Linked DNA regions of Bombyx mori. The protein of the gene in region 1 purifies or fractionates together with the protein of each later gene. This does not show direct contact. Links are inferred from orthologs where the notes say so. Each region holds a gene or a part of one and is shown in the gene's direction. Other genes may lie near its edges.

Region 1 (3,500 bases):
AGCTGTATTCGTTATAGTATATAATATAATATATAACCTAGTTAACCTAGTTCAAGTAACCTCACCACCTTGTTGATGTCCATGAGATCCAGTAACTATTTAATACCAAATAAGCCACATACTTGCTGACTAGACTCTAGCTTGCTAGGTCCGAACTAGTTGCTGAACGATTTTCTTGTTGACAGGTTCAAGCCGGAGATGTGATCACCATAGACAAGGCTACAGGCAAAATAAACAAGCTCGGCAGGAGTTTTGCCAGAGCCAGAGACTATGATGCTACCGGTGAGCAGCTATATTGAATTGCCAATGTATCGAAGACAATGTGAAAGGAATGATTTGGAAGGAGCCTATCTTTAAACAAACACTAGATATACGGTAGGCAGCGACTTGGCTCTGCTCCTGACATTGCTGAGGTCCATGGGTGACGGTAACTGCTTCCCATCAAGTAGGCCGTATGCTCGTCTGCCTATAGTAAAATGCCTGCACAAAAAAAAAATAAAAAAAAAATCTGACAAATCAATTGTATGTAACGGATTCTTTCAAATTGCTTAAGATGTTTGATCGACTTGAAAATTTTCACTTGTGTCAAGGACCGATGATTATACAATAATTTGCATTAAGTTCTTATTACGCTGATAATAATAATGCCATCTGTCGCCGAATAGCAAAAACGAATATTAAAAGAACTAATAAAATCGGGAATGCTCGAGAAGTGTAACTTGCATCTATTATCAAATAGCGGAAACACCTATCGAAACGACTGGTCCTACCAGGAATGTTCTCGGTAATTGTAGAGATGTTGTCCTGGCTATAAAAGCTATAAAAGAGATGACACGAAGGCAGTTAGTAATCGACTCGAATCTACTCGAAGCGAAGCGGAAGAAGTGAAGTGCGAATTATAAAGTGTTCCTTAAGTATTCTAAGTGCTTAATAGAGTTTTAATTTAGTACTTCGCTGGAAGTTTTGAAGTGTCACTTCTTTAGAATCGTTGTGATTTCAAACTCGATGAAACGAAATGAAACGAAACGAAAAAATAAGTCCATAGAGACACAAACACATATATGTATAGGATTCAGCCGGCGAGAGAATCAGATAGAACACGTTTTAAGTGAAGTTAAAATATCAATTCATAGAGGGCGCTACCTCATACTATACAAGATGATTTAAAATTATTTATATTTGGCTTGTTATCAACAGATATCGCTGCACGTAAATTCAACAATTCCTGAGTCGCGGTGACGAGATGTTACACAGTTGATAGACGTTCTCGTATTTCTCTTGCTAAATCATACTTACCTGGCGCCGGTCACCGTTTTCGTCGAACCCGTCGCTTGCGACGATAGGCTCGACGAGTAAATTAACCCTCAGACACAGCCCACTGAGTTTCTCGCCGGATCTTCTCAGCGGGTCGCATTGCCGATCCGGTAATAGATTCTGCGAAGCACTACTCTTGCTAGGACCAGTGTTAGCAACGTCGTCAGGTTTGAGCCCGTGAGCTCATCTACTAGTTAAGGTTCCGCTGAAATAGCCTCTCAAGGCTATCAGCTTAGGTAGGAAAAAAAAAACAAAATACCTGACGTAGGGATACCGTAATCATGCAGGCGGTTCCCCCAGAGTGAGACTGCTCCATTGCACTGCTGGGTGACCTTTGCGATTATTTTTATATTTTTATATGTTTCACTTCTACCACGTGTGACTTGCACACACACACACACACACACACACTTTTTTTTTTTTTTTTTATCCCGACCCTCAGTGAGTAACAAATAAATAGTATATGACATTATTATTTGTATACATCAATCAGGTCAGCAGGCCAGGTTCGTGCAGTGCCCCGAGGGCGAGCTGCAGAAGCGCAAGGAGGTGGTGCACACGGTGACGCTGCACGAGGTGGACGTCATCAACTCCAGGACCCACGGCTTCCTGGCACTGTTCTCCGGTGAGTCTGTGCGCATTGAACCGGCAGGACTGCCTTCGTAAGTCGAAGGGTGGAGCAGTTGTCCGGATACCTCTTAATGCTATCTAATAAACTATCTAGAGCAGGCCTGGGCAAATGGCGGAGGTAGAATTTTGTTTGGCCCGTGAAGCATTGTATATAATATATTATTATTAAAAACACATTGCATAAAATTTTTTAGATAAAATATTAAGCAATACCAATACATACTATCAGGGCCGGTGGGAAAATTTTCTCCCGGACAACCGCTCTATTCAGCGCCTCCTATTCGAAAATATAATTATGATAATTGAACAATTATTACACTATGTATAATAGTCGCACAATATAAAATTAGAAAAAAAACTGACTAATCAAAATATTTGCCCACCCCTGATCTAGAGCAAAAGGTAATGGGACATACATCTCTCAAATCAGCCTTTCTCAAAGTGGGCGATAACGCCCCCTTTTGGGTGCTGCAGGCCTAAAGGGGGGCTGTAAGAGACCCAGATAAAAAAATGGGGGGCGTTGTGTAGAGGCTTGGGAGGCGATTAGTAATTTCAACTAGGATACCCTTAGTCACCGACTGACCTCTCGCTATAGGGGTTTTTAAGTAGTTGAGAAAATGGGGGCGTTAAAAATAATTTATTCTCAAAGTGGGCCGTAGACAAAATATGCTTGGGAACCCCTGTCTTAATGATCAATGCCTGAATCTCGCTAACGACATTTTCGAGATATATGTGCGTATATACAAGTTCCAGAGGTCACCAATGTGGTGGAAAGCCCAAATTAAAACTGCAGTGGGAGGTTCCCTAAATGAGTGCAGTAGAATGACCTCGAGCAGGGAGAGATGGCGGAACATCGTAAGACGCATCAATCCTGCTCGGTGGAAGATGTTCCCTTTGTCCTTACCCTTAAAGACATAAAGGATCCAGTCTTAGACCGTAGCATCAGTCAACTGAGTCTCTCGCTGGGTCCTGCCGATCTGATCCAATAGATGTACTCGAAGGATAAATCCTTGAACTGTCAGATCTCCAGATCAGCACTCCTTCAGTACCTGGCTGGAGCTCTAGAGTCTGTTATTCCACCTGGTCAAGTGATAAGGTCTCTAAACTAGCCGGACCCCAAACCTCCAAGGTTTTGATGTCCACGGACCGACTTTGTGTTCTCAGGCGACACGGGCGAGATTAAATCTGAGATTCGGGAGCAGATTAACAGTAAGGTGGCTGAGTGGAGAGAGGAGGGGAAGGCAGAAATGATTCCGGGGGTGCTATTCATCGATGAGGTAATCTTTTTTCTGTCTAACATAGAACGGGTGGTGATTTTTATAGGGGGATGGAGTTCTTTTCTATTGCATAGATGGGTGGACGAGGTCACAAACCACCTGGTGTTAAGTGGTTACAGGAGTTCATAGACATCTGAAACTTAAATGCCATCACCCACCTTGAGATATAAGTTGTAAGGTCTCATTTTTAACAGTACAACAGCTGCCCTTCAAACCGAAACGCATTACTGCTTCACGGCTGAAACAGGCAGAGAAGTGGTACCTACCCGCGCGGACTCG
Region 2 (4,170 bases), on another chromosome or scaffold:
CGGCTGTACGTTGATATATTGTATAAACTGCTGGCCATTTTAGGTGATACTAATTTATTGATTCCGTAAAATAATAATGAAGACTTTATACAGCACGTATTTATTCGAGGTTTTCTTGCTTCACAACGGTCGGTGTTATTGAAATACCATAAAAAATATGCACAAATCATCCATTTGAGTCTACGATTTGACAGGTGCTTCTTTTAAACGAACTTTGAAAAAAGTCCCGATAAGCAGAAGATCTTGGCAATTTCAATCCATAATAATACTATTCAATGCGAAAGTGGGATTGGTGGTTTGTTGCGCTTTCATGTTTTAACTACCCAGCTGGTCAAGACGAAATTTTTCGTACAAATTGTAAGATTACAAAATAACAAAAAGAAAATTAGCTCGGAGAAATCACACATGTTCAGTTGGCCCCAAACTAGATAAATAAATACATAGCTATACCTTTAAAAGTACGTTTATAACATTTAAAATGGCTCAATACTTTCATTCATTTATACGGATATCAACATCCAAACAAATAGTAAACAAATCTGTTCATCACACTAATGTTTACCTGATCTGGGAATCGAACCCACGATATTTTTTTGCTTTTGATGCCAACAAAAAATCTGAAAGTAATATCGCCATCGCATTCACGGCCACGGAACTTGTATGACATTATTTCGTGCATTGATCTTGAAGCAGGATTCTGCCTACTATGTTGCTTCGAAATAATTTTGTACCTAGAAATATTTTCACATAAGTTGATAAAGATACCTGATAAAATCAACCGCCTTTAATCTAAAAACTTAAATATTAGCTAGTAACCAATATAGACCTAGGGATCTAGACAAAGTGTGCTCTTAAATATTAAGTACATATATTATCTGTGAATGTACTAGCGTTAATGTGAATATTAGATATGTAAATACAGAAGTACCGTATTTATTATATTTAATTTTAAGGAATTGACATAATAAATAATAATTACCTATGCTAACGAAACGTCACGTGGTCTAACTCATGTCAATCCCTTAAAATCATACCCGTCCGGGCATAGCTGGAATAAGACCTCAGGTACCTTCAGACAGGGAGTAGACTCAGTGGTCAAGGCTCAGGTACATCAGGTTTTTTAAAACTAGGTCATTTAATATAATAATATGACGTAACAATTATGTAAAATTATTATCTGCTGTATAAAAAAGTTACAAATCAATTAGGCATCATTAAAAAAATACAAATCTGCGTGCCACGAATCGTATTGTTTACAATTTATCCCTGAACTTTATGTTGGCACCCCGAGCCTTTGAAGAAAAAATGAGATAAAAGCATATGCAATACCTTAGAGCGAACGAAGTAGCAATACTAGTGTCAGCTGCATTTGAAAGTAAACGAAATTCGACGAGTCTCCGCCATGTTGTTGTATGAATCGAGTGACGGTGGGTCGGATATTGTGCATTTAATTTGTAAAAATTATTTAAAAGTCGTGAAAACAGTTAATCTGTTTGGCTTGCACGGCCAAGGTAAGTTTTATTCGCATTAATTTTAATTAAATAATGATATTAGTCACCTTAATATCTCGACCAGTACAAGTTATTTTATGGGGTCGGGTGTGGTGTTCGGTATTTAGTTCATGGTGCACTTATTTGTTTTGTTTTCCGCTGTTCCAAAAGTATTTCCTAGTGGGAAGCATTAAATAAATGCAAATGTTTATGTGATTAAGTTCTAATGTGAACCATGCTTTAATTCTTATGAATCGATCGATAACGTACAAAGCGGAGACATGTTTTATGGTATTTTTTACAACAGGGGACGGGTGCATCGTCGCATCGTCTAAATCATGAGTTATCAAATTCCATCATCGCAAAGTCGCACAAGTAAGTAATTTATATTGATTCTTTTGTAAATGTAAATTTATCATATCATTGCCATTCAAAAAGCTTGAGTACTTACTGAACGCTGTTCAAACCACTTACTTCGATACAATTGAATGAATCGGTTTGTGTCTATCGTGACTCATGCATATGGCATTACTTGAACGATAAATTTATAAATGAACTTTAACTTTTCTGTATCTCAGTACATTCTCTGCTAAGTAGCAAAAGAAAAAGAAATCCTAAAACACGAAAACATTGGAATTGAAACTGAGGGAAAAAATTACATTTTGAATCATACATTCTCAGTTCATTTATTTGAAAACAATTTTTAAACAAATTGCAAATAAATTAGATTAAAAGGAAATTTGAAATATAATTTGTTATGATTTGAGAACTCTCAAAAAGGTTCTTCAATTAATGAAAATACAGGTATAACAAGATTAGGATTCAACATAATTGAAACTTCAATCTCTTGTCAAAAGACGTGGAGTTCACATTAATGGCATAAAGTAACCACTTTATTTTAGTTTAAGTTTAGCTCCTGCAACTACTTACTAATTCTCTTTATGTTCGCTTGAAATTAAACCCATACTACCCCTTACATTCCTACAGAAATATATATATATCTCTCTGTTTTGTGTGAATAAAAAACGAGAAAACATCATTATTTTACAGTGTCGCACAGCAGCTATGTTGCTTCTGATGTGCCAATGGCACCAAACAAAGAGCAGCAGACATTGATGTGGCAGCAAAACTCCTATTTAGTGGACTCTGGAATCAACTCTGGAGCTGCTACCCAGGTAATGTTATCAGACTGTCTATTATAAAATACAGCAGTAATATTGTCCTATTTCATTATAAAAATTGGATTAAAATAAAATACGGCTTGTCTTCTTAATTTAACATAATTTTGGGATGGACACAACTGAAAATCTATCTTTATCAATACAACAACATAAGTCATTCAATATACAAAATAATGATGAAGTTTGATTAAATTTTTTATTATGATGACACTTCATAATATGAGATACCTGAACTACGTGTGCTCTAAACCTTGCTGATTTTATCATGGAACTTTTAACTGTTAAACGTAGAATGATCTAAAGAAAAAGAAAAAACATTTTCTGTCTCATTTAGTCGTGACTGAACCATACAAACTAGCAGTTTGAAAATTACTTCTGCATATTAAATAGATTTTGAATTGAACTGAGCAGTACTTTCATTAGTGAAATCTGTTATGGTATTTCATTGATTTTATCTGGCCTGTGTTCTTTAAGTAAGGACAGTAAATATGAGCAAAACACCATCCATTATAGTGTGAAGATATTCTTGCATTTTAGTTTTTAGAGTACACGTCAAGCCTTGTGTACTTCTTAATAGTTGTTTAAGCACTGATGAAACTAAAATCTTAGTATACAGCTCGAAAAGTAATATAAAATATCATAAAAATGCACAAAAGATCAGCTATAGTGATAATTGCTAACTTTTATTTGATATTTAAAAAATATTTTTTATTCCCAAAAGTACAAAAGATTTTTTATGAGAATACATAACCATACCTTTGTAACTTGACTGAGAGTGATAATCAGATGACTCCTACCTTTTTGAATAGTCACATCAATTTATTTTAGTTAAATGTATGATTCTCTTCAGGTTCCATCACTAACTGGCAAGGAAGATGATGAGATGGAAGGTGACCAACTTATGTTTGACCTTGATCAGGGTTTTGCTCAGGGATTCACTCAAGAACAAGTTGATGGTGAGTTGTTTCCCCATTTCATTTAGAAACGTTTGAATGTACAATATAGAAATAATTTTACACAAAAATTCTTATGACAATACAAGCTGTTTGGATTGTTGTATTCAATATCATATGCTTTACTTTCAGATATGAATCAACAGCTTTCTCAAACTAGATCTCAAAGAGTCCGTGCGGCTATGTTTCCTGAAACGCTGGAGGAAGGAATTGAAATTCCATCGACACAGCTGGATCCCGCTCAACCAACTGCTGTCCAGCGTTTAGCTGAACCTTCCCAGATGTTAAAGCATGCTGTGGTGAACCTCATCAATTATCAAGATGATGCTGATTTAGCTACCAGGTATAATTATGTAATATAATAGCCTAACACCAGATATTCTATCAGATCATCAGGCAACAAGCATGAAAAAAAAAACATTACACTATTATTATTCATTTGTTCTATTCCTATTGATTTTAAATTTGTTTCAGAGCTATTCCAGAGTTGATAAAGCTACTGAATGATGAAGATCAAGTAGTAGTATCCCAAGCTGCCATGATGGT
Region 3 (4,053 bases), on another chromosome or scaffold:
CAAACGATTCCATTCCATGCAAATATGAGCTAACTTTTACGCTATCGAGAACGTTAAAAAACTCGCACCAAGCGCACAGTTCGACGAGAGAACTAGCCCATACACACAACTCATTGAGTTTCTCGCTGAACCTTCTTGGTGATTCGCGATTCCGATCCGGTGGTAGATTACACGAAGCATTTCTCTTGCTGGGGCCAGTGTTAGCAATTTCTCTCAGATTTAGCCTGTGAGCTCACTTACCCATCCGTATTGGCATAGCGCTAAAGGCTACCAGCAAATAGGGATGATCGATATTAGAAAAACATCGATTTAAAAGTGTCGATGTTTTTGGTAGGAAATAAAACTGTCTATTTTATTTATTACACGTGCTTATTAATTAAAACTACATTTTACGGATTTTAAGCAGTCGCTTAATTATTGGACTTGACTCCGACATCACATTTCACAATTTACAGTTTCCTTACTACTGTGGTGTGGCAGTAATGCGTTTTGAAGCACATTTATGTAGTAGGGCTTGATTATTACGTTAATCAGTGTCATCTAGTTTAAAATAGTTGTACTGCCTAGAGACTTGCTAGCTAGAAAGTTCATCCACCGTTAGATGGCCCTAAAAGATATATGGACGTTTCGATAATTCGATATTCTATTCTCATAACATCATGTGTCGATTTTATCGAAACCAAAACGATGTTTATTCAACATCGATGAATATCGATCATCTCTACCAGAGAATAGGTAGGGAAAAAATCACAGCCGGTGCAGTGTTTTAAAAAAATGTTGTTTCTTATAGAATAACAGTTTAGTATTTGTGAAAGTGAGACTATTGAACCAAACCTTTCTTGCTTGTCTTTCGAACATTCCATTAAATGGAATGCCCAACATTCAAGAGAGAAGTAATCTCATATTTTCTTCTTCTCTTAAAGAATCCGTGACATTTCCATCGACTTTCTTTCGCTTTCCCACACTTGTGCACTTTCATAGAAACTAAACGGCTAAAATCCATCATTATCAACGTTCAGACATTAAAATAAAGAATACAACACCAAATAACAATAAAATACACCCAACCACGATCTTCTCGTCGCCGTTAAAAAGTGCTAATAAATTTATTCAGTTTCAGTTCCAAACTATAGGTACATGAATCAGCCTTTTTAGCCAAAGACATGCTAAAGATTTTTAAAGAGATCGTTGCTAACGTTGGTAGTAACTAATATATTATAATCTGTGGTTGATTACATCCCCTTTGCCTGTCTTCTAACTGTCTAAGGAAAAATCAAATCAGTCAAATAAGAGTTGATTTGTTGATTAAATTAAATGAATTATTTGATTAAATGGAAAATATACATTTATGTTACGTATTTAAAGCTACCTAAATAAATAACATTTCCATTTTGCACATCCTTACAGTAATATTTCAGACCCAACTCAAGAAGATGCACATCTAATCTAATCAGTAATCACCGGTAACCTTTAAATAAAAGGTACGAAAATGAGCGAGACCTCTTGTTATATATTGGACAACGGAGCCTATACGGCTAAAGTTGGCTTCTCCAATTCCAAATCCAGGATAATACCTAATTGCATTATGAAGGCGAAATCTGAGAGACGCCGCCCTTTCATAGGCTCTCAGCTTGACGAGTGTCGCGACGCTTCAGGATTGTTCTACATCTTGCCTTTCCAGAAAGGTTTTCTAGTCAATTGGGACACTCAAAAAACCGTCTGGGACTTCATATTCAGCAAAGAATGCTGCCCAGTCAACTTCAATGACACCCCGCTGATCATAACCGAGCCGCTTTTTAACTTTGCCTCAATACAAGAGGCGATGACGGAAATATTCTTCGAAGAATACGAATGCCAGTCGTTGTTACGGATAAATGCTACAGATCTGGCTGAATACAATTATCGTAGGACTCATAAAAATGACTGCACAGTTGTAGTTGACTCCGGTTATAGTTTTACTTACATAGTTCCATACATAAATGGCAAAAAATATAAAGACGCGATTATAAGGATTGATGTTGGCGGGAAAGTGCTTACGAATCATTTGAAAGAGATCTTGTCGTATCGGCAATTGAACGTTATGGATGAAACCTATGTCATTAATCAAGTCAAAGAAGACTCCTGTTTTGTGTCCAAAGACTTTTTTGCGGATATGGAAATTGCTAAGAAGAAAGGTATATTTAAATTCATCGTTATGAATTATAGTTTCATTTAATCATGATTCAACATGTAATTGTGAAGCCTAGTAATGGAAGCTTAGTCTTAAAATTACAAATGACTAACAGTGCAAGTAAAATGAATAATTTTGCTAATCAATTCCATTTTAAAACAGCTTTATATTCTGATTGATTATGCAGCAGGTGGCTACAAATTGGTTTATATACCAATAGTTTTTGTGATATTATTATATTGGACAAATTAGGTTATTTTCTGCACCTAAAGATAGGCACTCAAACCACCTTAAATTTTCTCCAACAAAATGCAATCTTATATCTAGACGAGAGAGCTGCATTCATTTTGAAATGTTGTTTAGTTCCCCATACTCAACACTGAGTTGGCTATGAGCCACTTGACTTGAGTGCTCCTCTTCAGGTTCAGAGAATATATATTCACCAATACAAAAAATTTGCACCTAAATATCCATTTGGCTGTACTTATTTAATGTTATTAAAAAAAAGTTATTTTTATTCTAATTATGCTTACAGGACCAGAGAATGCAATTGTAAAAGACTATGTGTTGCCTGACTACACATCCTTGCGTCGAGGTTATCTACGAGACATAGTCCCACCAGAAGAGGACCTGGAACAACAGACATTACGGTTGAACAATGAGAGGTTTTCCATTCCGGAACTATTGTTCCACCCCTCAGACGTCGGCATCCAACAGATGGGAATACCAGAAGCCATCATGCACTCGATAAACTCTTGCCCAGAAGAGCATACGGAAAACCTACTGGCAAATATAGTTTTATACGGTGGGAACACATTATTCCCTGGTTTCCGTGACAGAGTTTACAACGATGTGCGTTCTTTAGCCTTAGATCATTTTGATGTGAACATTGAACTACCAGACAACCCGATCACATATGCTTGGGAAGGTGGAAAATATATATTTCGTGATCCAGAATTTTATTCGTTTTGTATGACTAAGGAAGAGTATGAGGAAGAAGGGAAGCCACTGGCATTTGAAAGGTTCGATATATAACGAAGAAAGCGAGCAAGGAAGTCTACGGAATAGGCTCTTGCTCGTTAAACATTGTGTGAAAATGAACGGGTATTATGATTTGGTAAGCCGTGAAAGAATCTGATCTTATGGCTTAAAGGTAACTAGAAATGGGACAATTGATAAAATGAAATGTGCTATGAAGAACACTTTTAATTATTTTGGATATAATAAACTATCTTTGGTGATGTGCCAACTATTTTTTATGTAAATTGTAATGTAATTTGTTATTGTCTTATCTTTTTCTGCTGCATTTAACCGAATACTAATGGGACTCTTGTAGAAATTCAAAAACACTTGAAACAATAAATTATTTTCTGTATAAAACTACTAATTACGAAATTTTTTTTACATTTCAATGTGACCTATATTGTTGATATGTGGCCACGTTTCGGCTTCATATACTCCTTGTGGGATACCCTGCATGCCAATTTAATATACTCTTTCTACTCTGAATTTCCTCATAACCTCGGTACTGGCTTCGCTTATACGTGTGCGGTCATAATTATGTTTATATATTATTATATTAAATTGGTTCTCAATTGTAATGCGATGCAACAGTGTTCGAATTCCGCAGGCGGGTACCAATTTTTCTAATGAAATACGTACTTAACAAATGTTCACGATTGACTTCCACAGTGAAGGAATAACATCGTGTAATAAAAATCAAACCCGCAAAATTATAATTTGCGTAATTACTGGTAGTAGGACCCCTTGTGAGTCCCCACAAGTGGGTACCACCACCCGCCTATTTCTGCCGTAAAGCAGTAATGCGTTCCGGTTTGAAGGGTGAGGCAGTCGTTTTAACTATACTGAAACCTTAGACCTCT
Region 4 (4,297 bases), on another chromosome or scaffold:
ATTATAAAAAGGTTAAGAGGCTCAAACATAGTACATATTTCTATTTATATAGTGATTTTATTTTTGAGTCTTGCCAAGAAGTTGATAAAATTAATTTCGTTTCATTCCAGTTTAATTGTTACTTTCATTTTGGTTTCAACCTTACGTATATTTCTTTCAGTAGCAAAGTATACTTGAAATGTTTCAATTGCAGTTGAAATGTTGCATTTAGTATGTACTTTACTTTCAACAAAATGAAAAACTATTAAGAATTCTAGCTAGGAACTCGAGGAAATAATCTGAATTGTTTTATTTTGTTATTATTATGATTATGTTATGTTATTTGGTGCATCTTGTAAACGTGTAATATTAGTTTCTTATTAAACGTTTAGTATTTAAGAAAATGCACAATTTTGAAACAAAATCACGGAACGCTGTTTGTAGTGTTCTTTCAAATTCATTCAACTGCATTGAACTTCTTATAATTTCCTACCAAATTACTGAGATGTTATTTCATTTCATGTAACTCTGCACGGTATCTATAGCTTATGTTTCCTTTGCATAATCAAGAGTGAATAAAGAAATAAAAATAAGTTTGACATACTCTGGTTTTAAGTAGAGATGGCCAAAAATGGCAATTTTTATTGATGAAGACGATGTTTTCCTTTTTACAAATAGTGCTTATAAAATAAAATAAACTAAATATCGAGACCGTTTACCTTTTTCTGTTGTAGAAAATAAGCATTCCAAAAGCAACGACGTCGCGTCAATTAATAAATGACGATAATTATGTTCTTAGCTTGGATCCTACTACTAGTCTCAAAGACCGATACGACCATTTTAAAGCATTGTCCTTTCAGCTTAAAGGGCTATTATAGCTATGTACAGATGGGTAGGTGAGCTCATGGGCTCAACCTAAGAGAATTTTACACCTAACACTAGTGTTAAAACAAGATAAAACTAGTGCTGCAAGAGCAGCACTTCGCAGAATATAGTACTAGATCGGAATCGTGACCCACTGAGAAGATCCGGCGAGAAACTCAATGGGATATTTCTATGGGTTAGTTCAGTCGTCGAACTGTTCGTCGAAATTGAGGTTTCATGAAAACGGTGACCGTTGCTTGAAGAGCCTGAAAGCACCTGGAGTGGATTCGGGCGATCCGACAAGGCATCTTTGGAATGACAGCGGCTATAAGTTGCGCCGTCACCTGGATCGTAAAAGTAACTGGCAGTGACTACGATAAGTGGGTTAGTCGGGCCCTTTGTCGACGTAGCGTTCTGATGCAACCTTAAAATATTCACGTATCGGTTATAATCATAGTGAAGTTTAAATAGTTCTGAAAACTGGTGATTATGCATCATCATATAATCAACGTTGGATTCGATATGCATTGCTATAGCATTGTTCGATACTCTATCGAAACAAAATTTCGTGCACCGCGTAACACTACATCGATACTCGATAATGTCGATACGTATCGCGCATCTTCAGTGATTAGTGTAAATGTCAAATGTAAATGACAAATGTCAAACGGATGTTTCCGTTATGCCGGAGGGGGATTACCATGCGTTGTTTCATTGTTTGTTAACGAAATAGCTTCTACCTAATTATTTTATGAGGGTTAAATCTTAAGATATATCAAGTCCACGGTACCGAAGTAACGAACTTGTTACTTTTTTGTGAATCAGTCCATTGTTTGACTGCATCGCAATCAGTTTTAATACTAAACAAAGGCAGTTGGTGCCTGACTAGAAGATCAATAGTATACATCATGCTTACTCCACGTTTTAAATTAACGCAAGACGACAACCACATATTCGTAACAGTTCACGCACCGTATACAAACATTGGAGATACAGAAATAGATGTTGATGGCGAAAATTTCCTTTTTGTGTCTAGTCCTTACTTCCTTCGATTGCGATTACCTGGCAGGATCGTTGATGATGATCGGGCAAAAGGTTCATACACTTGTGATTCGGGAGACTTCAATCTCACATTTGAAAAAGAAACTGCCGGGGAACATTTTGAGAACCTTGATATGATCACAAATTTACTAGCACCTCGTGATATACCAGATGTCAATCCTAATCTAGTTGAAATGCTTGAAGAAGATGGAATTACCCTGGAAAATGATAGTGACAGTGAGAACTTAGAAAAATTCACATATGGCTTTGCTAATAAAATATCCAATGAATTTTGCAGCATCGGAAATGAATTTCCACAAATTTTTGAATTAAAAGCACCTGAAAATGTTGCTGTGGACGAACGTAATTCTATGAGGATGAAACATGAAAATGATAAATTCTCGTCTGATCATTATCTAGCAGACTTTTTTGATGATGAACTTCTTGCACCCTACTTATCATCCACTTCTTATTGGGACAAAGGGGATTTCAAAAATGAAGTAGAATTTACAGATGAAGAAGTAGCCATATTAAAAGAATTGCCAAACAAGCATTATTTGCTAAGCAAAGAAGAGTATAGAGAAATTATGCTCGGATTAATAGATATCTTGTTTGGGTATTGCTACGACAAAAGAACAACATTAAATGAAAGCACAGTGGAGTCAAGCTGGACCATAAACAAGCTTTCTTCAACACTAAGTTGGTTCTGCACTTTCTTAGATACAAGACATGTTTTGATTGCATGCTACAGGAGAGCACTCACTTATCCGATATTTAGGAACTATGAGCTGTGTAACAAAGTAAAGAATGATCTAGTATCACTATTACGTAAAGGCAAGAAATTGGTAATAAAATGTATGATTGAAGTACATCAAATGTTCAACACTAGTAATGATGCACGTTATATCTTAAACCAGCTTTATATCAAAGACTATTTGGTGTTCTTACAAAAATGTCGTAATGAGGAAATCATGGAAATATGCAATAATATAGCTAATATTGAGCTCTGTAAAAAAGATTTGAACTTAGAGTTAGATGAATTGGAAATGGCTGCTGAAATGGTTAAACAGGAAGAAACTGAAATCATGGAGAATGAGATGGCCGTCCAAATGGCTTCCATGTCTTTACTACCGGGACTGAAAAAGAATATTGCTCCATACCTTGATGAGAGTGATGATGACACTGACAGCTCAACGGACTCAAGTGATGATAGTTCTTCTGAAGATTCCTCTGATGAAGGCCTAGATTCTGATGATGATCCATGAAAAACAAGAGGAGTGTAAATAATTCAATTCTCGAAAGACACTAATTAGTGTGAATTTGCATGTTTTGATTGCACTTAATTTGGTTCATGCAATCAATTAATGAATTTATTTTATAAATTTTAAGATATTTGAATATGTTAGAAAGACTGAATAGTTTAGTGTCAAGAGAATAAAGGGCTGGTTTAAAGGTTTGAAAGATTCTATAATAATTAAAAAATTTAATTATATATTAATTCATCATTAAATTCTATTTAACCTATGGCAGAGTTTCAGACATTTGATAACCAATACTTTCAATGTTATTTTGAAAGTTGTGTGCACAAATGCACAGCCCACCTGATTTGAAGTGATAGAATGTCCTAGCCACTATTATTCTGTGGCAAAGATAGGCATGGCTGTAGAGTCTACACACTGCCTCCTGCAAACTGCATAGGTACTTGAAATTTAATAATTTTATTATAATGTAACACTGCCATTTTTTAAAGAAGGCAATTATTTATGTTAAGCAAAACTATAGTAGTGTTCAGTTTCTTCTCAATTTTCAAGAAAATTAATCATGTATCTCTAAGTCTAGATTAGCAATCAATGATCGATTACTGACTGCAAAGTGTAGTCTAAAGTAAGCATATTAAAAACTGATTAACCAAATCGTTGAGAAATGAGAACATTTTTAATAAACAAAATTATCTATGTATTGACATTTTCGTGAAATAAATAACTGTTTATAAAATATCACATTTATTTTACTAGTTTTCTTTTTGTTAGTTTCTAGTTTTTATGGCAGTTATAGCCATAACAGATTGTTGTTGTTGTTGTTGTTGTTGTAGTCCTAGGGCACCCTGCTGGTACATAGGGCCCTCACAAGTTGTCTCCACTTGACCCTGTCTTGAGCTTGCGTCTCCACTTGACCCTGTCTTGAGCTTGCTCCTTGACATCACTCCAGATCACGTCATCCATAAATTACGTCACACGTTATGGGGCAGGTTATCAACAGAATGTGATATTGTGTGACATAGGGCCGGGGGTCACAAGTGTTACGTGACGATTTAAGATTTAAAAAACTTACTAAAAAGTCAGCTCCTTTCTCTGTTATCTAACATATTTGACTAAGGTATGTTGACTTGATTAAATAATAATTAATAAAAATA
Region 5 (4,032 bases), on another chromosome or scaffold:
ACTTAACAAAAATAGACAATAGAATAAAAATATATTACTAGTATATAGTCACTCAGCTTAAAAGCTAATGAAACGCTCAATTAATTAGTGTAATAATAATCAACATCAACTTTTACAAATTTAAACCGAATTAAATTCTGTTTCAAATGTGAACGGTGGATGACGCTGTTCTTAATTATTTCAGATTTTAAAATTGAAATCTGAAAGCTTTGAAACGTCAATCTGCATAAATGTAATTCAAAAACTACAGTAAGAGGCTTAAATAAAAAGCTAAATTTAACTCAGCCTTAATTAAAATTTTTTTCGGAATTTAGTAGTAAAGTTCAAGTTATTTTGATGAAATCAAAACTGAAATATTCATAACATCTTAAACAATCACCTACGAATAAATATTATTTATTATATTATCTATTCAGTAGACAATCACAACGGTTTTATAGTTTTGGGAAGGGATTTTTTGTAACGCCATCTCGTGAAGTATTTCGGTATTACATTAATATAAAATAATTAATAATTGGGAATTTAATTATTTTTATGATCGAACAATCACCAATAGTCATCGAACAAACGATAATTGATCAAAATGAATTAAAATGAATTAATCGATAAAAATAAAGATATCTAGTAAGAGGGGCCCACTTAACGGTGATCATTTATTTAATTAATTATAAATAAACAAAAGACGAACAAACAATTTTTACATTCGAGCATTAACGAACAAACGACGAACAAATAATTAAAAATAAAAAAAATCCGAAAATAAAAAAAGGGGGCCAAATTTACAGAGCCATAACCTACTAACTTAAATATTAAGTGTATGATCTATACCTACGGCACACTGAATTTGGCCCCTCTTTTTTTGATTTTCAAATTTTTTTATTTTTAATTATTTGTCCGTTGTTTGTTCGTTAATGTTCATATGTAAAAAATCTTTGTTCGTCTTTTATTTATTTATAATTAATTAAACAAATGATCACATTAAGTTGGCTCCTTTTACTAGATATCTTTATTTTTATCACTCAGATTAATTAATTTTGATCAATTATCGTTTGTTTGACGACTATTGGTGATTGTTCGATCATAAAAACAATTGAATTCTCAATTATTAATTATTTTATATCTAATAAGCAAACCATCACCTCACGCCAACAAATATAAAAAAATCCAAAATAAAAAAGGGGGCTAAATTCACTGAGCCATTAAGCACATAATATTTGCATGTGTTTAATCTATGATATTTGCTACCATAGATAATAGAGCCTAGGAAAGGCGACGACGACGCATTTGCTTTAATATTTTCCAATTGAAAATACAGAAAGGCCATTAATAGCCTACAGTATATTTTTTAAATACAACACTCGCTTTAGCGAAGATGTATGATACAGAAGATGATCAATACGAAGAGGAAGATGTGGAAATAACACCTGAGCTTTGGCAAGAAGCTTGTTGGATTGTCATCAACGCTTATTTCGATGAAAAAGGTCTAGTGAGACAGCAATTAGATAGCTTCGATGAATTTATTCAAATGTCGGTACAACGTATAGTTGAAGATTCTCCACCCATAGAATTACAAGCAGAAGCACAACATTTCTCTGGTGAGATGGAAACACCACCAAAATATCGTCTTAAATTTGACCAAATTTATTTATCTAAACCTACTCATTGGGAGAAAGATGGAGCTCCATCTCCCATGATGCCCAATGAAGCACGTCTTCGTAATTTAACATATTCGGCACCTTTATATGTTGATATTACAAAAACAATAGAGAAAGAACATGAGGATCCTATTGAAACGCAACATCAGAAAACATTTATTGGCAAGATTCCTATTATGCTTAGATCTACATATTGCTTACTAAACAGTTTGACTGACCGTGACTTGTCAGAATTGAATGAATGCCCCTTAGATCCTGGTGGTTACTTCATTATTAATGGATCAGAAAAAGTACTAATTGCACAGGAAAAAATGGCTACCAATACTGTCTATGTATTCAGCATGAAGGATGGCAAATATGCTTACAAAACAGAAATAAGATCATGTCTGGAACATAGTTCTAGACCGACATCTACATTATGGGTTAATATGATGGCTCGAGGAGGACAAAATATAAAGAAATCTGCTATTGGTCAAAGAATTATGGCAATTGTCCCATATATCAAACAAGACATACCTATAATGATTGTATTCAGAGCTTTAGGTTTTGTTGCTGATAGAGATATATTGGAACACATTATATATGATTTTGATGATCCAGAAATGATGGAAATGGTTAAGCCATCTCTTGATGAGGCTTTTGTCATTCAAGAACAAAATGTAGCACTCAATTTTATTGGAAGCCGAGGAGCACGCCCAGGTGTCACCAAAGAAAGACGTATTAAATATGCTAGAGAAATCTTACAAAAGGAAATGTTGCCACATGTTGGAGTATCAGATTTTTGTGAAACAAAAAAAGCTTATTTTCTAGGCTACATGGTACACAGATTATTATTAGCTGCTTTGGGTCGAAGAGAACTGGATGATAGAGATCATTATGGCAACAAAAGATTAGATTTAGCAGGACCACTTTTGGCTTTTCTATTTAGAGGCTTATTCAAAAATTTACTAAAAGAAGTCCGAATGTATGCTCAAAAATTTATTGATAGAGGAAAAGATTTCAACTTGGAACTTGCTATCAAAACAAAAATCATCACTGATGGTCTTCGTTATTCTTTGGCAACTGGTAATTGGGGTGACCAAAAGAAAGCTCATCAGGCCCGAGCTGGAGTATCTCAAGTGTTGAACAGATTAACTTTTGCATCTACTTTATCCCATTTAAGACGTGTCAATTCTCCAATTGGACGTGATGGTAAACTTGCTAAACCACGTCAATTGCACAATACTTTATGGGGTATGATTTGTCCTGCTGAAACTCCAGAGGGAGCTGCTGTTGGCTTAGTGAAGAATTTAGCATTAATGGCTTATATCTCAGTAGGAAGTCAACCTTCACCAATTTTGGAGTTCTTGGAAGAATGGTCAATGGAAAACTTGGAAGAAATTGCACCATCAGCTATAGCTGATGCCACAAAGATATTTGTGAATGGTTGTTGGGTAGGAATACACAGGGACCCTGAACAGTTGATGGCTACACTACGTAAACTAAGACGTCATATGGACATCATTGTCTCTGAAGTCAGTATGATTAGAGATATAAGAGACAGAGAAATCAGAATCTATACAGATGCAGGTAGAATTTGTAGGCCATTACTTATTGTCAATAATGGTGTCTTATTGTTGAAAAAGAAGCACATAGATGATTTAAAAGAAAAGGACTACAATAACTATGGTTGGCAAAATTTGGTGGCTAGTGGAGTAGTTGAATATATTGATACTTTGGAAGAAGAAACTGTGATGATTGCCATGAGTTTAGATGACTTGAATCAAGTTAAAGAATATGCATATTGTACTACTTATACACATTGTGAGATTCATCCTGCAATGATTCTGGGTGTCTGTGCGTCTATTATTCCATTCCCAGATCATAATCAAAGTCCCAGAAATACTTATCAAAGTGCTATGGGTAAACAAGCTATGGGAGTTTATATCACAAATTTCCATGTTAGAATGGATACACTGGCTCATGTTTTGTATTATCCTCACAAACCCCTGGTTACGACAAGATCTATGGAATACTTACGATTTAGAGAATTGCCAGCAGGAATTAACTCCATTGTTGCTATTCTTTGTTATACCGGATATAACCAAGAAGATAGTGTTATTTTGAATGCATCTGCTGTAGAGAGAGGATTCTTTAGATCCGTATTTTACCGTTCATACAAAGATTCTGAATCTAAAAGAAATGGAGAACAAGAAGAACAGTTTGAAAAACCAACCAGACAGACATGTCAGGGTATGAGGAATGCTCTGTATGACAAATTAGATGATGATGGTATTATTGCTCCTGGTATTAGAGTATCAGGTGATGATGTTGTCATAGGAAAAACTATAACTTTGCCAGAAAATGATGATGAGTTGGAAGGTACAACAAAACGATT
Region 6 (3,581 bases), on another chromosome or scaffold:
CAGCTACAAATATTGCATCTGACTATAAATTATGATTTTAAATTGTATACCAAATTAAAGCCTAACTGACGAGTCTGAGAGCAATTTCTAATTAATACAAAATACAAATCATACAAATGAATTGTCAAATAGACAAGTCTGTTAATAAATACTAGACTAAAATACTATGGATCATTATGGATGTGTGTACCTAGTACGCAAGTATTGTCTAGTACTATACTACTGATCCGTTAATGTATATCCTGGATCTTAATAGTTTTATTAAATAATATCATGTCCAACGCTTAAACGACGCCAGTCCAATCCGTAATAACTTTGTAGGCTTATAGTTTCGGACAGATATTGTCCAGCCGAGCGGAACAGATAAATCAAACAAACAAAACCAAAGCTTTTCGAATTATTCTGAATAGTTGAAGAACCGTTTCGAAATAAACAATTCGGCTTAATATTTCCACGTGAGTTCATTCATACTTTAGTCTATATATGAAAACTATTCAGCAGTAGGCGAGCTGTATCCCATCTACTGATATAGATTTTAAAATTGCTTCAGCATAAGGCAATCAAAAATAAAACGGTTACAACTTGATGATTTCATAATTAAATCATTATGGTTACCGGAATTGTGGATTAAAAGACTTAAGATTTACTGACGTGTCCGACGGACTGAGGAACTAGTAAATAAAGCTTAACCTTGAGAGACGACTAACCAGACCGCCATTAATAATGCACAGGGTAAATAATAGTACCAGAATATGTTGAGGAAATCAGTTCAGTCTATTCCATTTACATAATCTATGCATGTCTAGGACCCAATCCAATTTAAAAAAAATCTAATACTAACCATAGATTTAGACACGTAACCTACTCCCAACCTGAGTTCTGAGTTTCTGAGTGAAATGAAATTGACATCTGACTTTTGCTAACATGAAAGAAAAAGCATTGTGTGAATTAACGTTGTAGGTACTTATTAACTCCATGGAATTAACATAATATATTAAGTGTATTATCTACGGTTCATGGAACAGACAAGGCTTATGGGCTTAGATCCTTTTGCCTTTCCTAATAAGGAAAAATTGTACCAAAAAAAATAACTATGGTTCTGATCTGAAATAAAAATAACAATTTTATGAATAAAATGGAAACAAACGTGAAGCCTCCTAAAAAAAAACCTACAACAATAGAAGACCTCACGAAAGAACAAATTCAACAAGCGATAATTAAGAAACGAGAGTGTAACTCAAAAGCGCAACATATAGTTGAAAGTTTTCTAGAAAATAGCATAAACGAAGTTTATTTCCTCAAATGCTTACCAGACCTAAACCAGTCTCATTTCGAAGATGTTATTGAAGAACGATCAATCATAAGTCTATGTGGTTACCCGCTCTGCTCGAACACATTATCCAAGAAAGACATACCGAAGCAAAAATACCGAATCTCCATGAAAACGAACAAAGTATATGATATTACAGTTAGAAAAAGCTTTTGCAGTAATAGTTGTTATAAATCTGCCATGCACATTAAAAAGCAGATGCTAACAAGCCCGCTTTGGTTTAGAGAATATGAGATAATCCCACAATTTAATTTATTACCAATGAATTCGGCAGATGGTTGCATGGGACAGGAGATTGATGTGTCAATAATTGACAGAGTGAAAGTAGAACTTGAAAACAAGCCTTTCGTAGTTACCAATGGTTTTGTAAAAGCTACTCTTAGAGATATGGCATCAAATAATGGTAAAGATGATGTATATAATAAAGCTACTGAGGAGCAAAATGAACAAAACTTTAAATTAAGTACAGAAAGTACTGAACTGGATGAAAAAGAAATGAAGCATAAAGACAGCGTAAATAAAGCATCAGAAGGGAAATCCTATATCTTAAATTCAGAATCAAATTCTGTTCAAACACAAAAGTATCTACAGGAAAAATCTTGTCCTGTATCAGTGAAGTCTGAAAATACTGATAAAATGAAAAAAGCAGTATACAATCCAATGAACATTGTCGGAGATATCATAGAAAAACCTGAGAAGAAAATTGATTTGACTTTACTAAGTGCAAAGGATGAACAAAATAACGCAAGCTCATCTCTATCTCAAGAAAAAAAGAAAGAGAAAAAGCCATTAGTGACTGTATTAATTGTAGAAGTGGAAAAATGTCTAGCAGAATGGTTTACTTTAGACACATTAATTTTTCTCTATGGCGAAGAGAAAGTGAGAGAAATGGTATCAGATAAAGAAGACAGTGTGAAAGAATATCTGAAAAATTTTACAAAAGGTACATTCTACAATTCCACAGCCTATGATCAATACCAAGCTTTATGCAGAAAACTTAATATGCTCGAATTAGAAGACAAACGTTATGATGCCAAAACAATGCAAAGGGAAATGAAACCGCTGCCAGATTACACTATACTACAGGAAGAAAGCAAGAAAATACAATTGAAAGTAAAGGCGTTTTTTGCTGGTCAAACTGAAATACCTGAACCAGAGCCTGAAGAAAAGAACACACAATCAGATGAGAACTTCACAGCTTTGCCATTAGTAGACAAGAATTCTCAAAATGCATTACGTAGACGAATAGTCTGTCAACATTTAAATAAGACCCTACCGGACATCTTGAGGTGCCTAGGTTTATTAAGTTTGGCCATAAGCACAGAGGTGCGTCTTTTGGTAAACACATTCAAATTGAAAGCAAATAATATAATGTTTAAGCCGATTCAGTGGACTATGATTACCATAATATTTATAAAACTTCTATCATTAAGAGATGTACACTTGGCACACTTATTGGAGCAACCAATGGCATACCAACATATTCAGTTGTTACTCTTGAGTTACAAACAAGATAATGGCTATTTAGATAGACTAATATTTTGGCTGACCGATGTTGATAGATTATTGAATACAAACAGTCACTGTGCTATAGAATGATTGTATGCATAATCTTACTGTAACATTAATGTAACTTGTGATATTTTAGATTGTAAATACTTGTTTTGTTCAAAACACTTTTTTTTAATTCAAAATATTGTTGTTTTAGTTTCATGGAATATAAACTTGCCAGAGTAATATTTATCAATAAACTCGCAAAATTTTTATTGCATTGATAATGCAGAAGCTCACAACTCAGCCAGTATAAAAAAAGGGTTCGTGTACTTATGTACGCTCGTAAGAAGTTATACTTTATTTTTATTAAATTTATTCCCTTTTTTTTTAGATATTAAATAATTAATAATAAATATTTAACGTTAATAATTTAATAATATTTAGTATGAATTATATTAAATAATAATTTTGTCATTTATATTACAAAAAATAATGCTGATAACACTTCTTTTTACGAGTGTACATGCGCGAAAGTTCACCTGCGGCTATATTCAGACCCGCCAAATTACGTCGGTAGATTTAGTGGGCAACTTCATTCTGTTAATTTTGTGTCACGGTGCGCGCGCATCGTAAAATTTCACTCTCATCAATTTTTCATAACGCGCCTAAAGAAGTATATATAACTTCAACAGTTACTGGACCCCATAAACATTACAAATTTAGATGCCATTGTGCTACTTGAGTCATGAGATTCTAG
Region 7 (4,189 bases), on another chromosome or scaffold:
TAATAATCAGGGAAAAACATTGATTTCAAAATATATTTCTAAAAAGTCTAGTTCTCCATTAAAGTGTGGAGTAGTTTTCTTAATTCATTTTAATTTCTATCAAGCAACTAACACAATTGAGATTTTGATTCAAAATATGCTAATGATAGCTTCACATTGAGTTTAATTTTGACAAAATAAGTTATAAAATAAGATAACTAAACCTGAAGATAATTAAATAGACAAACATATCTACAGAAACGACCTTGAAACTAGTGACAGCCCACACAATAGCAAATTGCAAACTTTATTTAGTAAAAAATATATTTATATGACTACTTTTTTTTTCAATTAAAAACTGAATCGTTAGTACTTAAAATCCCAACGTGTTAGCTTCGTAATTACGGTTCAACTGCAATAATTGCAGTATTTCATATATTTATTCAAATGTTTTTTAAAAGCAAATGTCAATTAGTATGCAGCTAAATTGACAAATTTAGACAGCAACATTTTTCGCAACGTAACACAGCTTACATACTACGTAAACACAACGTATATCTACGTACAGTCAGGTTCGCACCATGCTAAAATCGATATATTCAATTCAAAAACACATTTTCGTGCGGCAAAACAAAATCATACCTGCAGGCTTTAATGGAACTATTTCCTGGACTAAATCGCCCCGTTTTAATAGTTCGGTGAATATTACTTCTATTGTAAGCATTAGCGGCGTATAATTGTCTGTTTCGACCTGTAATATAAATGTTAAAATCACGAATTACAAATGTAACCTATGACGCATTACATTTTTCGTTGTACTAAATGAACAAGGGATTTCATGCTCACCTCAAACATCTGCAATATATCAGCAAGATTGTTCGCATGTTTTCTGGAGTTAAGAAACTCATTTGCTTTATTACGAAGCTGTCCCGAAATCATTTTCGAAAAATTTTGTTGCACAGCAGCCATTTTTGTATTGAAAAGGATTGACAAAAAGTGACAACTGATCAGGCGGGCAACCTTAGAAAATATGGTTTCGTTTAGTAATTAGGTAAACGACTAATGAACATGCCTGTGCCTAGGAAACTCTTATTTTATTTTCTAAAAATATATTAATTGAAATCAAAATCAGAATTAATAGCTTTATATTAAAGTAGGTTCACATCAAATCTTTTTAATCGTTTTAACTATATTATCTAAAAAAACAAACCACTAGAGCAACAATGTAAGCTTGCATTAAAATAATCTCTGTGAAAATACACAAATATTATTACGAAATATTAGTTTAAAAACTAACCATAAGACATTTAAATGATATTTTTTGATAGTATTAAAACATTGCTAAATTATTAGTGCTGCTCTTTACCTATGTTTTTTTCATACAGTCCAATTCGTTTATTTTCGTTTAGAAATGAAACCAGATTTTAAGGTTATCTTGCTGTCAAAGTCAAAACTTGTTCAAAACAATCTTTAGAGCATCGGCAGTTGTTTTGGATAATTATTTTTCGGAAATATTTTCAAAATATAGTTATCAATATTAAAAATGGACGGAGATTTATATGACGAATTTGGAAACTACATCGGGCCAGACTTGGAGTCTGATTCTGAAGACGAACAGAGTGTATATGGTCAGGATAATCGTGAAGGTGATGAGGAAGCAATGGAGGAGGACGAGGACGCAGACGCGGAGCCCGAAGTTGCGCCTATGTCCGTCGTTCTTCATGAGGACAAACGGTAAAACTTTTTCATTTAAAACTAACAAATAAAGCGGCCTTACAAGATGTTAACCCACTTTACCGGTACTAGCGACGCACATGCTAGACCATAGAACAAGCACACTCAGACCTCGAATACCTAATATTTTTAACAAAGAAAAAAGTACTGAGAAAAGCTATGCTCTGTTTTGGTATTTGTTAAAATTAGTTATTGATTAATAATAACATTATTAACCATCAAACTTCAGTTACTATCCTCAAGCTGTAGAAGTGTATGGACCCGACGTAGAGACAGTCGTCCAAGAAGAAGATACACAGGCTCTCGACAAACCCCTGGTAGAGCCTGTGAAACACAAGAAGTTCCAGGTTCAAGAACAGCAGCTACCAGAGACCACCTACGACATGGAGTACATGGCTGACATGTTAGATAATACTAACTTAATCAGAAATATTACGTTAATGGGCCACTTGCACAATGGTATGTGATGTGATTTCAATGAAATAAATAAGAGACAAGTCATCCATGAGCTTTTTGTAGAGCTTTTATTTGTTAATAATAAATTAATTTGATTATTATTATTACATTTTCTATAATTACCATTCAACTTATAATGTTGAGTTTCATAAAAACTACTTTATACTATGTACACACAGATAACCGTAAAATCTTTAAAGTGTATTGAATAAAATAAAATGAAACTATTGGAATTATATTATTATTATTATATATAGAGGCCTATTTTCTGCAGTGGACGGCGATAGGCTGAAATGATGATGATGATGATGATGATGATGATTAAATGCAAGAAAACTGAAGAAAAGACTAAGATTTAAGTGATCAATATTAATCTAAAATAGGATTTAGTAACAAAAATAAAAAAATGTGCAGATCAGAAAAAGAAATTTCATATTTCCTATCGAAAATTAGTGAGTGTTATTTGATCTTCTTAAAACTGTTTTATTTCAGGAAAAACATCTTTTGTAGACTGTCTCATGAGACAGACACATCCTGGAACAATTAACAATGAGACAACAATACCTATAAGGTATACAGATACTCTGTTTGTGGAGCAAGAGCGAGGAGTGTCGATAAAGTCCATGCCGGTAACATTGCTATTGAAGGATATAAAGGGAAAGTCACATTTATTGAATATCATGGATACTCCAGGTCACGTGAACTTCAGTGATGAGGTGACTGCTGCTTTGCGGATATCGGATGGTAATTTTTTTACTGAAGAGGAAAGCTTATTTGTGAAATACTTATCAATTCTCAATACTCATAAAAGCAATTTAACCAACAATCAAAGTCATGTGTGTTTCTTTATTTGACATTATAACCATAAGTCGACATCTGAGCATTTTTAATTGTTGAGGTTATTATCAAAAATGTACACGCTTCACAAATGCTGCCTATGAAAATTCATTTTAAAATATTTTTTAAAAAGAGGTTTCAGTATAAACAAATACAGGTTAATTTTGTCTTTTATAGGAGCGGTACTCTTTGTGGACGCTGCTGAAGGTATAATGCTCAACACGGAGCGAATGTTACGTCATGCAGTACAAGAAAGAATTCATTTAACTCTTTGCATCAACAAAATAGACAGGCTAATGCTTGAGCTAAAATTACCTCCTGCAGATGCCTATTATAAGCTCAGGCATATTATTGATGAGCTGAATTCTATGCTGGAGACCAATCAACCTCAGGATAATCCTGATGAGCCTCCAATTGTATTTTCACCACTTCTGGGTAAGTTATTAGTATCTCCTATAGCCAGGTTTGTCACCAACCATACCTGGAGTATAAGTAACAACAATTGTACTGTACTAAGTTTCATGTCAATTGGAATGGATCAATTTCAAATAAACATTGTGTCTTAGATAAGGTACAGAACATTGCCAAAAGTTGTTTTTTTTTTTCATTTTTATTTTTTTTATTTTTTTATTGCCTTTGTAGGCAGACGAGCATACGGCCCACCTGATGGTAAGTGGTCACCGTCGCTCATGGACGTCAGCTTAGCCAGGGGCAGAGCCAAGCCGCTGCCTACCATAAAGTACTCTTTGGACCAAATGTGAATTCAAATGGTAATTATGTAGCCATCTACACAAATAAGAGAAATGAATACTTTAATCCATTTTTAAGGCGATTGCTAAGTTGAATGAGTATACTGTTGTCCAGGTAATGTCTGCTTCGCGTCAACATTGTACGACGTGTGTTTCTCTCTGGAATCGTTTGCGGCGATGTACGCTGCCTCGTACCCTGCGTGCGGACTGCGGGCATCCGACATGGCGGGCTGGCTGTGGGGCGATGTCTACTTCAACGCGAAGACTAGACGCTTCACGAAGAAACAACCTCATGCCTCTGCTCAGAGAAGCTTCGTGGAGTTCATATTGGAGCCGCTGTACAAGATTTTTGCTCAAGTAATTGATTGTAAATAATAATTAATTAGAAAATATCAACAATCCATGGATTGACCCTGCAGATACCGGACCCGTTA

What was found.
Region 2: the proteins of ruvB-like 2 (region 1) and armadillo segment polarity protein purify together in Homo sapiens (affinity purification with mass spectrometry; 5 studies listed by BioGRID, with this or other methods). This does not show direct contact. The link is inferred for Bombyx mori from reciprocal best matches to the Homo sapiens genes RUVBL2 and CTNNB1.
Region 3: the proteins of ruvB-like 2 (region 1) and ARP6 actin-related protein 6-like protein purify together in Homo sapiens (co-immunoprecipitation; 7 studies listed by BioGRID and IntAct, counting the BioPlex papers as one, with this or other methods). This does not show direct contact. The link is inferred for Bombyx mori from reciprocal best matches to the Homo sapiens genes RUVBL2 and ACTR6.
Region 4: the proteins of ruvB-like 2 (region 1) and protein SHQ1 homolog purify together in Homo sapiens (affinity purification with mass spectrometry; 4 studies listed by BioGRID and IntAct, with this or other methods). This does not show direct contact. The link is inferred for Bombyx mori from reciprocal best matches to the Homo sapiens genes RUVBL2 and SHQ1.
Region 5: the proteins of ruvB-like 2 (region 1) and DNA-directed RNA polymerase II subunit RPB2 purify together in Homo sapiens (affinity purification with mass spectrometry; 3 studies listed by BioGRID and IntAct, with this or other methods). This does not show direct contact. The link is inferred for Bombyx mori from reciprocal best matches to the Homo sapiens genes RUVBL2 and POLR2B.
Region 6: the proteins of ruvB-like 2 (region 1) and putative RNA polymerase II subunit B1 CTD phosphatase RPAP2 purify together in Homo sapiens (affinity purification with mass spectrometry; 3 studies listed by BioGRID and IntAct, with this or other methods). This does not show direct contact. The link is inferred for Bombyx mori from reciprocal best matches to the Homo sapiens genes RUVBL2 and RPAP2.
Region 7: the proteins of ruvB-like 2 (region 1) and 116 kDa U5 small nuclear ribonucleoprotein component purify together in Homo sapiens (affinity purification with mass spectrometry; 5 studies listed by BioGRID and IntAct, with this or other methods). This does not show direct contact. The link is inferred for Bombyx mori from reciprocal best matches to the Homo sapiens genes RUVBL2 and EFTUD2.

Annotation. Positions count from the first base shown.
Region 1 is NC_085117.1:3,013,533-3,017,032, forward strand, and holds part of ruvB-like 2, read left to right. Parts: intron 1-185; coding exon 186-282; intron 283-1,807; coding exon 1,808-1,939; intron 1,940-3,108; coding exon 3,109-3,221; intron 3,222-3,500. UniProt on the Homo sapiens protein: Possesses single-stranded DNA-stimulated ATPase and ATP-dependent DNA helicase (5' to 3') activity; hexamerization is thought to be critical for ATP hydrolysis and adjacent subunits in the ring-like structure contribute to the ATPase activity.
Region 2 is NC_085116.1:12,303,011-12,307,180, forward strand, and holds the start of armadillo segment polarity protein, read left to right. Parts: upstream 1-1,370; 5' UTR 1,371-1,511; intron 1,512-1,558; exon of another isoform or gene 1,559-1,755; intron 1,756-1,797; 5' UTR 1,798-1,828; coding exon 1,829-1,865; intron 1,866-1,937; exon of another isoform or gene 1,938-2,105; intron 2,106-2,540; coding exon 2,541-2,665; intron 2,666-3,521; coding exon 3,522-3,627; intron 3,628-3,756; coding exon 3,757-3,967; intron 3,968-4,098; coding exon 4,099-4,170. Other genes in the region: uncharacterized protein LOC101744306, read right to left, coding at 1-170. UniProt on the Homo sapiens protein: Key downstream component of the canonical Wnt signaling pathway.
Region 3 is NC_085108.1:3,056,634-3,060,686, forward strand, and holds ARP6 actin-related protein 6-like protein, read left to right. Parts: upstream 1-1,281; 5' UTR 1,282-1,489; coding exon 1,490-2,174; intron 2,175-2,705; coding exon 2,706-3,205; 3' UTR 3,206-3,553; downstream 3,554-4,053. UniProt on the Homo sapiens protein: Required for formation and/or maintenance of proper nucleolar structure and function. Plays a dual role in the regulation of ribosomal DNA (rDNA) transcription.
Region 4 is NC_085132.1:6,847,900-6,852,196, forward strand, and holds protein SHQ1 homolog, read left to right. Parts: upstream 1-1,497; 5' UTR 1,498-1,751; coding exon 1,752-3,149; 3' UTR 3,150-3,881; downstream 3,882-4,297. UniProt on the Homo sapiens protein: Required for the quantitative accumulation of H/ACA ribonucleoproteins (RNPs), including telomerase, probably through the stabilization of DKC1, from the time of its synthesis until its association with NOP10, NHP2, and NAF1 at the nascent H/ACA RNA.
Region 5 is NC_085110.1:13,230,051-13,234,082, forward strand, and holds the start of DNA-directed RNA polymerase II subunit RPB2, read left to right. Parts: upstream 1-1,232; 5' UTR 1,233-1,372; coding exon 1,373-4,032. UniProt on the Homo sapiens protein: Catalytic core component of RNA polymerase II (Pol II), a DNA-dependent RNA polymerase which synthesizes mRNA precursors and many functional non-coding RNAs using the four ribonucleoside triphosphates as substrates.
Region 6 is NC_085121.1:1,520,202-1,523,782, forward strand, and holds putative RNA polymerase II subunit B1 CTD phosphatase RPAP2, read left to right. Parts: upstream 1-1,126; coding exon 1,127-2,929; 3' UTR 2,930-3,081; downstream 3,082-3,581. Other genes in the region: uncharacterized protein LOC101736188, read right to left, coding at 842-844.
Region 7 is NC_085121.1:1,483,803-1,487,991, reverse strand, and holds the start of 116 kDa U5 small nuclear ribonucleoprotein component, read left to right. Parts: upstream 1-1,389; 5' UTR 1,390-1,522; coding exon 1,523-1,713; intron 1,714-1,942; coding exon 1,943-2,172; intron 2,173-2,661; coding exon 2,662-2,913; intron 2,914-3,183; coding exon 3,184-3,441; intron 3,442-3,870; coding exon 3,871-4,112; intron 4,113-4,189. Other genes in the region: nucleolar complex protein 4 homolog B, read right to left, coding at 622-730, 826-948. UniProt on the Homo sapiens protein: Required for pre-mRNA splicing as component of the spliceosome, including pre-catalytic, catalytic and post-catalytic spliceosomal complexes. Component of the U5 snRNP and the U4/U6-U5 tri-snRNP complex, a building block of the spliceosome.